Linked DNA regions of Sus scrofa. The protein of the gene in region 1 purifies or fractionates together with the protein of each later gene. This does not show direct contact. Links are inferred from orthologs where the notes say so. Each region holds a gene or a part of one and is shown on either strand. Other genes may lie near its edges.

Evidence for each region. Proteins that work in one complex are often made in the same cells at the same time.
Region 2: the proteins of SWSAP1 (region 1) and SPIDR purify together in Homo sapiens (co-immunoprecipitation; 3 studies listed by BioGRID and IntAct, with this or other methods). This does not show direct contact. The link is inferred for Sus scrofa from reciprocal best matches to the Homo sapiens genes SWSAP1 and SPIDR.

The regions. Positions count from the first base shown.
Region 1 is NC_010444.4:70,058,285-70,063,402, forward strand, and holds SWSAP1 (ATPase SWSAP1), read left to right. Parts: upstream 1-1,901; 5' UTR 1,902-1,923; coding exon 1,924-2,172; intron 2,173-2,987; coding exon 2,988-3,491; 3' UTR 3,492-3,705; downstream 3,706-5,118. UniProt on the Homo sapiens protein: ATPase which is preferentially stimulated by single-stranded DNA and is involved in homologous recombination repair (HRR). Has a DNA-binding activity which is independent of its ATPase activity.
Region 2 is NC_010446.5:79,876,688-79,880,655, reverse strand, and holds part of SPIDR (DNA repair-scaffolding protein), read left to right. Parts: intron 1-1,312; coding exon 1,313-1,406; intron 1,407-2,181; coding exon 2,182-2,299; intron 2,300-2,488; coding exon 2,489-2,542; intron 2,543-3,968. UniProt on the Homo sapiens protein: Plays a role in DNA double-strand break (DBS) repair via homologous recombination (HR).

The DNA.
Region 1 (5,118 bases):
TCAAGACATGAAGATGGGATCCTGAGAAGTGAGGCAAAGAAGTACTACACACATGAGAGAAACACCTAATATCACATCTTCGCCAATGTACTCACTCAGCTGCATTTAGAAGCACCTACTATATACCAGGTGTGGTTCTACGATCTAGGAAGCCAGAAAGAAAGAGGAGCCCTACCCTGGCAGAGCTGACATTCTAGTGGGAAGAGAGGCAATAAGGTAAATACATAAGGTTGGAAGTGATGTTATTTGAAGAGAAACAAGCAGTTAAAGAGTGAAGGGGTGTAATTTTACACAGGTGGTCAAGGAAAGCTTAAGTAGGTGATATATGAGAAGGCACCTAAACTGAATGAAAAAAACGAGGGATATCTGACAGCTGAATGCTCTAAACAAGGGAACAACAAGTGCAAAGGACCTAAAACAAGGCTGTGTTTGGCATGCTCCTATGTATATAACTGTGTGGAACTCTGTGATACAATTGTCTCTGCTGGGTGCTTGTGCATTTAGAGTGCTATAAAATTGAGGTGAATCATGGGCCTGAGGTGGTACATTTACAGGGCAATGTAACAGTATGTCGTGTGTGTGTGTGTGTGTGTGTGTTGGGGGGAGAAATGGTATGATTGTATCAGAGTGTGTTCTGGTGTGTGTGCAAGGGAAAGGGTGTGGAGGCATGAATATGGGAAAGAGTATGTATGGGATACTTTGTGTCAGGATAGGATAGGGCAGGGAGCATGTGGGTGATGGGGATTCTGAAAGTGAAATATATGCAGAGATGCCATGTGTGCATGCATGCGTGTGTGTGTGTGTGTGTGTACGTGCCCAGCTGTGTGAGTGGGTGTATTATTGGAGGATGTTGTGGAGCTGTGTTCCGGCCCCAGAGGGAGAGAGAAAGCCCTGGAAATCTCAGTTCCTCCCTGCCCCTGGGTCTCCTGGCAACAGCACCACTTTGAAGTTACCAGGAGACAGAGTTGCCAGGGCAACAGGGGTATGAGTGGCAGCTCTGGGGAGAAATCTGGGTGAAGAGACACAACCACTGATCACTTGATCACTCACCTTGTTCCTCCTTCTCTCCCAGTTTCTCATCAATCCTACTTTCCTTTCTTCATTCATTCCTTTAAGGAGACTATATTGAGAATCTACAATGCCCTAGGCACTGTTCTGGGTGCTGGAGATACCAAAGTGAACATGACAAACAAGGTCCTGCTGTGGTTCTCCCTCAGTCTCCCAGCCCCCTGAATCTCTGCCTATTCTCTCCTGTGCCCCCTTTTTGTTGTTTGGTCCTGCCTCCCCCTGTACTACAAGCAGGACTCAAGAAGCCCCCAGGCCAGTGAGGAAGCCAGCTGAGACTCTTCTCACAGACACTAAGAGACAGCTGCTGATGTTTTGCACATGAATGTCCTCAAGCCGGCAGTCCCAGACACATTTGTGCTGGTATTCAGGTGCAGAGAGAAGCACATAGCTCATCCATCTCTCTTCTCCATTGTCATTGGGTGTTATCAGCAGAAACACACACAGACACGTGCCTATCACAATATTCCTCTGAGATACCATGAGCTACAATTTACAGGTAAAAAACTGAGGCTAAGAGACTTTAAACAATGTGTCAGTGATTAGGACCTGCTCCCTCCAACTCTCAACACTTGTATTGCCTGACTAGCAGAACGACTCACAATAGTAGTATTTGTGCTGCTTCGGCCAGCGGACTCACCAGGGAAGAGCCTTATCTCCCTCAAAGGCCTCCATCCCTTCCTCGGACTAGGTTATTTGCCGCTTCACCACCAGAGGAACTGGGAAACAGCGATCTACCTTTGATGAGCAGAGCCTCGAACCAATGGAGAAGCTAAGTACACTGTGGCCAATGAGATCTCGCCTGCGGCGGGATTAAGGGCAGGATCGGGCCACGGATTGGACAGACGTTTGCTGCGAATGGCGGAGACGCTGAGGCGGGTGCTAAACTCTGGCAGCGCGGCCGGCCCCGCGGAGGAGAGCACGGCTGAGGCCGGACCGCCTTTGCTGCTGCTTGGCGGTCCAGGCTCTGGAAAGACAGCACTGCTATTCGCGGCGGCCCTGGAGACGGCAGGAGAGGGCCAAGGCCCCGTACTCTTCCTCACCCGGAGGCCTCTGCAAAGCTTGCCCCGCGGGACCCGAGCAGCGCTGGAACCCCTGCGGTTACAGGTTGGGAAAAGCGGGACCAGAGGCGGACCAGCCACTAGCGGAGCGGTTGGGATTGAGTGACACGTAGACAGACCAATGGTGGAGACGAAGGAAAGCCAAGCCGGAGTGGCCATTATGGGATGGAGTCTGGAATGAGTCGGGGATGGGACCATACTAAGCTTTGTTAAGATTGAGTGAGAAACCATCGATGAGGGGGCGAAATTAGCAAAAGGCGGTACCCAAAGGGTTTGACTACAGTTGGTTTTTGGACAGCTGCCGTCAAATGATGGTGTCGGCCGCTTAGGGAAAGATTACCCTGCAGATTTGGCAGAAAGCTGTATCTTTCTTTTCTTTTTTGTCTTTTGAGGGCCTCACCCGCGGCATATGGAGGTTCCCAAGCCAGGGGTCTAATCGGAGCTGTTGCTGCCAGCCTACGCCACGGCCACAGCAACGCCAAATCCGAGCCGCGTCTGCGACCTACACCATAAACTCACGGCAACGCAGGATCCTTAACCTACTGAGGGAGGCCAGGGATGGAACCTGCAACCTCGTGGTTCCTAGTCGGATTCATTTCCGCTGCGCCACAGGCGGGAACTCCAGAAAGCTGTATCTTGTTCTCAACTAATACCAGGGAGTGAAGAATGCAGGATAAAAAGGTAGGGGGCGGAGGATGGCAAACAAGAATACTCGACCACTCTGAGCTGCCTCACTCTGGAACCAGCAGTTCCGGGAGTGAGAGCCTCGTCCAGGAGAGTATGCAGGGGACTAGGGCTGCTATAGCAGGGATCCTGGCTTCCTGTGCTGATTCTGGTCCTTTCCTTTTCTCCTCTCTCTAGAAAATCCGCTTCCAGTATCCACCCTCAACCCTTGAGCTCCTCCGGCTCCTGTGCTCTGCGCATGAGGCCAGGGGGGCAGCGCCCTCCCTCCTGCTGCTCGATGGCCTGGAGGAGTACCTAACAGAAGACCTTGGGCCCCAGGAAGCCGCCTACCTGGCCGCCCTGCTTGTGGACACAGCTGCCCACTTCAGCCACCAGGGTGGGCCTGGCCAGGGCTGTGGGCTCATTGTGGCTCTCCAGACCCAGGAGGAAGGAGACAGTGGGGATGCCCAGCCACTGGCGCTGCTCCAGAGGTATTTCCCTGCCCAGTGCTGGCTGCAGCCCAATGCATCAGGCCCAGGACAGCACTGCCTCCGAGCCTGCCTGGAGCCAGGCGGGCTGGAACCCAGGGCAGAGTGGTGGGTGACTTTCCAACCGGATGGAGAGATGACGGTCACACAGTGGCCCACCCAGGCTGGTGACACTGGCTCACACAAGGGTTCAAGCTCTGAAGGGCAGTCTTGAGCTTTGGTGTGTGACAACCTCTCTATGCCTAAGTTTCCCATGGCTGGAATACCTACCTCAGAGACATGCAGATTCAAAGACTTAAAGATTGTAAAGTGCTTTTTCTCTCATAAACATAGCATTTTCATGTACATATTGTGCCCAGTCAACAAATTGTTTAATTTTGCTGTTTTGAACTTTAAAAAGTTTCATGATAAATGTAATCTGAGACTTCTTTCTTCTCCCACTCAACATTGTTACTAAGATTCAGCCACATTTTTTGGTTCATTCCTTTTTTTCTACTGCATATAATTCCATGGGTGACTATACTCCAGTTTATCCATCAGATTGACTATTTACTGCTCTTGACATTCTTGTACACATGTCCTGGTTTGTGTGTGCAAGGGTTTTTAGGATATATATCTAGAAGTGGAGTAGCTAGAGTGAAAGGTATACCTACGTTCAGCTTTCCTAGGTTTTTTTTTTTGGTTTTTTTTTTTTGGTCTTTTTGCTATTTCTTGGGCCGCTCCCGCGGCATATACAGGTTCCCAGGCTAGAGGTCAAATCGGAGCTGTAGCCGCCGGCCTACACCAGAGCCACAGCAACAGGGATCTGAGCCGAGTCTGCGACCTACACCACAGCTCACGGCAATGCTGGATCGTTAACCCACTGAGCAAGGGCAGGGACCGAACCCGCAACCTCATGGTTCCTGGTCGGATTCGTTAACCACTGTGCCATGACGGGAACTCCCAGCTTTCCTAGATTATGCCAAACTTTATTTATTTATTTGTCTTTTTAGTGCTGTACCTGCGGCATATGGAAGTTCCCAGAGTAGAGGTCAAATTGGAGCTGCAGCTGCAGGCCTGCACCACAGTCACAGCAACACCAGATCTGAGCTCTGTCTGGGACGTACACCAGAGCTCTTGCCAATGCTGGATCCTTAACCCACTGAGTATGGCCAGGGATCAAACCTGCATCCTTATGGATACTAGTCAGTTCTTAACCCGCTGAGCCACAACTGGAACTCCTATGTCGAACTTTTTAAAAGTGGCGAGACCAGAACTCCCATTGAGTCTCTTGATGACATTTGGTGTCATCACAGTGCTTTCTTAGAACTGGGCCTGATTGAAAATGAAGCCTTAGGAATGAATATTGCTATTAATAGTAGCAGAGACTAGCTAGTGGCTCATTAAACAGCTTTTCTCTTCTGGATGCACAGCTAAACTACATTTCCCAGCTGTCAATCGTTCTGGCGGTGATTGCATGACCATTTCTGACTGGTAGAATTTGTGAGGAAGAGATGGCCAACACCTCTAGGCTAGATCCCTAAAATAGCTCACAGAATCACCTACTGTCTTTGCTTGTTGGCTGACAGGATGCAGAGGATTCATCTAAAGATGCCAAGTTACCCCTGGGGATGATAAAGCCAGTCTGGGATTCTGATGTATCCCAAGGATAGCTGCCCACCTGTTTAAATTGAAATATGAGAGAGAAAACATTTAATGTGTTAAGCAACTCCCAGGCCAGGGATCACACCCATGCCACAGCAGCGACCTGAGCCACTTCAGTGACAATTCTGGATCCTTAACCCACTGTACCACAAGGCAACTCCCAGGAGTTGTTTGTTAGGGCAGCTAGCATAACTTAC
Region 2 (3,968 bases), on another chromosome or scaffold:
TGAAGTGCTAAGCTTTATCCCACACTAAAGAGCACTGGACTTGGATTTGTTGAATAAGTAAATCACAAATGTTAGAGTGAAAAAGAAATAAGGAAACCAGTGAAGTCACATAAGAGGAGATCCTAACAAATCAATAAGAATATTTAACTAAGGTGTGGAGTTCTGTTCTACCAACCAAAGAGGCAAATACTTAATGTCACCATCAGTGCAGTGGTGGGTGTGGACAATGTGAATCTGAAGGTTCCATGGGAAGCATCTCTGAAAAGGATTCCATTGTCTCTAACCCTCATACACTGTGACACGGTAACTGTGCTTCCATGACTTTCCCAAGGGAAGGGTCCTGCACAGAAGGGGCCAGATAGATAGATGCCAGTTGCCTTGACTGGGGTAGCCTGGAGGCCTGGTGTCCAGTTTGGAGAGTGGTGGAGGGAACCTCAGTAGACAGCATGCAGCAGCCTAAGGGCAGGATGAGATGGTGCAGTGATGGCCTGCTTGGAACAGTGCATGCACGTTGGAAAAGGCCAAAAATGAGAATATTTGGTTAAGTAGTAACATGTCTAAGCTTTAAAACTTGCTCTTGCTAGGAGTTCCCGTCGTGGCACAGCAGAAATAATCCGACTAGGAACCATGAGGTGCAGGTTCGATCCCTGGCCTCACTCAGCGGGTTAAGGATCCAGCATTGCCATGAGCTGTGGTGTAGGTTGCAGACGCGGCTCAGATCTGGTATTGCTGTGGCTGTGGTGTAGGCCGGCAGCTGTAGCTCCACTTCAACCCCTAGCCTGGGAACCTCCATATGCCAAGGGTGCAGCCCTAAAATAGCAACAAAAAAACAAACAAACAAAAACCTCCCTCTTGGAGTTCCCATGTGGCACAATGGGTTAAGAATTTGGCGTTGTCACTGCTGTGGTACAAATTCAATCCCTGGCCTGAGAACTGCATGCCATGGGTGGAACAAAAAAAAAAAAAAAAAAAAAAAACCCTTGTTCTTTGTTGGGAGTTCCCTGGTGGTCTAGTGATTAGGATTTGGAGTTTTACCACTACAGCCTGGATTTGATCTCTGGTCTGGGAATTGAGATTCCCACATAAAGCTGTTGCATGCTATGGCCCAAAAAAACAGAAACAAAAAACTTACTCTTTGTTGTAATTTTTTGCAATGGGAATTATAAAAAGTTTAGCAACATTTATATAAACTCAGTGAGAAGCAAACCTGGAGCACCTCATGTTACCATCTTTGACCTGAGGGGTAAAGAGAAGTTGGGGAGGTGGGGGGCAGAGCCGCTTCTGAACCTGGCTCTGCTTCCTGTGGGCCCAGGCTCTGTGGTTGCTGTGGATGAGAGCACCGCCTTCTCATGGCCTGTATGTGACCTGTGTGGCAGCGAGAGACTGGAACGGAGCCCAGAAGACAGGTATGGGGGCAGGGGGCTGGCCTGAGAGACCCCAGGGCAGCAGCAGCCAGCTGGGGATTCCATGATGGCCTTGTGCCTTGGGCCAGGGGCCCAGTGCACAGGGAGCAGGGTCAAGCTGCAGGGAGGCCACATACAACATGTTTTCTCTCTTTACAACTGGGGTTCGGCTCTGCCCCGCACCACCTCCTGTCTTAAAAGTAAGAAGAGCCAGGTTTCCTCAGCTCCTTAATTATCAGGCAAGAGAAAAAGAACTCAGAGCAAACATAACGTGAGACCCACTGGGTCATTTGCAAGCAGATCCCCCTTCCCTGCCCAGCACCACTGCCCCCATCTGGCTCCCCTGTGACTGTCGGCTTACACTGGGGTGTGTCATCACTTTCCTGCTGCTTGAGGCCTCTGAGGGGGTGGTCTGAGGCCTGGACAAGGCAACACCCGGTTGCACTTGGAGACAGAAGGAGTGTCTCTCAGGTTTACTTGGAAGCGGGAAGGAGCAGAGACACTGAGGATTAAAGCAGGTTTTCCTGATCTGGCCCTTCTGGCTTGTTTGCCACCTGCTCAGCTGGGATGAGGCTCCCTGCCCGTGTGCCTCTGTCCTCCAGGCATTCCACACACGGCCAGACCGCTGAGCCTGGGCTGCTTCTGACCTGCTTCAGGACCTGGGTTTCTGGACGTGAATGCTCCACTCTGTCTCGGCAGACCCTCAAGTGTAGGAAGTGTCTGTCCACTGCCAGACCCTTGTGCTCTGTGCCTTCTCTTTGGGTCTTGTTTCCAACAGTAGGCGCACCTTCTCCTGTGGGGCCTGCTCCCGCGTGGTCACCTCACCTCTCTTCAGAAGGCACCTGCAAGTCTTCCTGGACTGCCCCTCTCGACCCCAGTGCACAGTGAGGGTCAAGGTAAGAGCTGGCAGGTGTGGCCCAGCTCTCTTCCTGGGAAAAGGGGAAGGACTCACCCACGGACCACAGTCACCCTGTCTGACCTAAGGCATTGAGGTGGAAGCTGGTGGCTTGGAGCCACATGTCAGTTCTCGGGTCGGGTTGGGGGTGTTTTCGGGGTCCTGACCCAGCCCCTTCCTGTTACTGCAGCTGCTGCAGGACAGCATCTCTTCGCTCCTGAAGTTTGCGGCCTGTGAGGATGGGGTAAGTCCGGGTGCCCAGCCCAGGCCCACATCCTCGCTCTCCTCTGCTGGGTCCTATGACTAGGACCTAGCTGAGCTCTTGGGGTTGGCGCACAGAACACCTGCGGGTCCTAGGCTCCCACAAGGGTGGCCCTCAACCACCTGTTCCCTTCAGGAACCTGGAGACAGGGGAGGGGGTGCTGGTAGGAACACCCTCATTTCATTCAGCCCCTTCTGATGGAGGCAGGCTATACCTTCTACACATTACACTTCTTAGCCACTTACATCCTACTCCTAAAGAGCTCAGAAGGCATGTGTGTGCTCATGTGTGCACCTGTGTGTGCATGGGTGTATGAAGTATGTACATGTGTGCTCTGGGTGAGGGGCCTGGGTGGCCACTCAGTGTTCCCTTGTGCGGCTGTGCACTGGGAGCCGAGTCTAGTTGACCAGAATGCAAGCCGACCCCCACCCCACCCCTGGCTCCATGCAGCGGTTCTTAGAAAGGACGCGGACACATGTGTAGGAGAGGCCTGTGTGGAGACACTGGCCATGAGGCTTGTCTGGATTCTGCCAGTTTTCAGTGTGAGAATGTACACTCACCAAAATCCACGAGAACCACGACTCCATTCCTGGGAACAACATGCAGCTTCTGATTAGGACGCAGGAGTATTTGGTCTCATGCCTCCACTTAACAAGGTCAAGCTCCAGATGTGAAAGCAGTGGAACTAGCTGTGGTCATATAGGCCACTGCTCCTGGGTAACATTACAAGGACAGGAAATGTGCTGTCTTTTTCCTTAGCCTTCACAGAAGGAAAAGTTAAAGGAAGATACATTGCATCTTTTAAAAATAAAGGCACATTTTGTACACACACAAACACACACACACACGCTTTCATTTGACCAGCACATGTGCATGTTTTCATCTCTCCCGAATATAAAACTATAACTTAATCTCCTTTATAAACAGTAATTACTGAAAACCATAGCTACCAAATCTGACTTTTTAAAAAGAGGATTTTTTTCAAGTCAGAGTTCCATGCTTGTACCCCCAGTGGGAGCATGCCTAGGTCCCCTGCCTACACCTGCAGGTACAGCCCTAACAGACAACACAGCCACATGCAGCCCTTCCAGCCCTGTGTGGGCACCTTCCCAACCCAGCGTCTCTATCTCCTTCCTGCTATGTATCCACTGTGTGAGGCACCTTGTGGGCTGGGTGAAGGATCAAGGGGGCCATGACCTTGATGTCTTGGTCACAAGAGCCCAGGCAGGAGGACTCCCCACTTTTCCAGCCATATCCTCTAACTTCCTTCATGCAAACATGCTGCCAAGGAAGCCAGAGCTAGCTCCCTGCAGGCCACATTGGGGAGGCAAGGGGGTTGGCTCCAGGCCTGTCTCATAGACGGGAAGACAAGCACTGCAGTGTCCATGTCCCAGACCAATACAGGCAT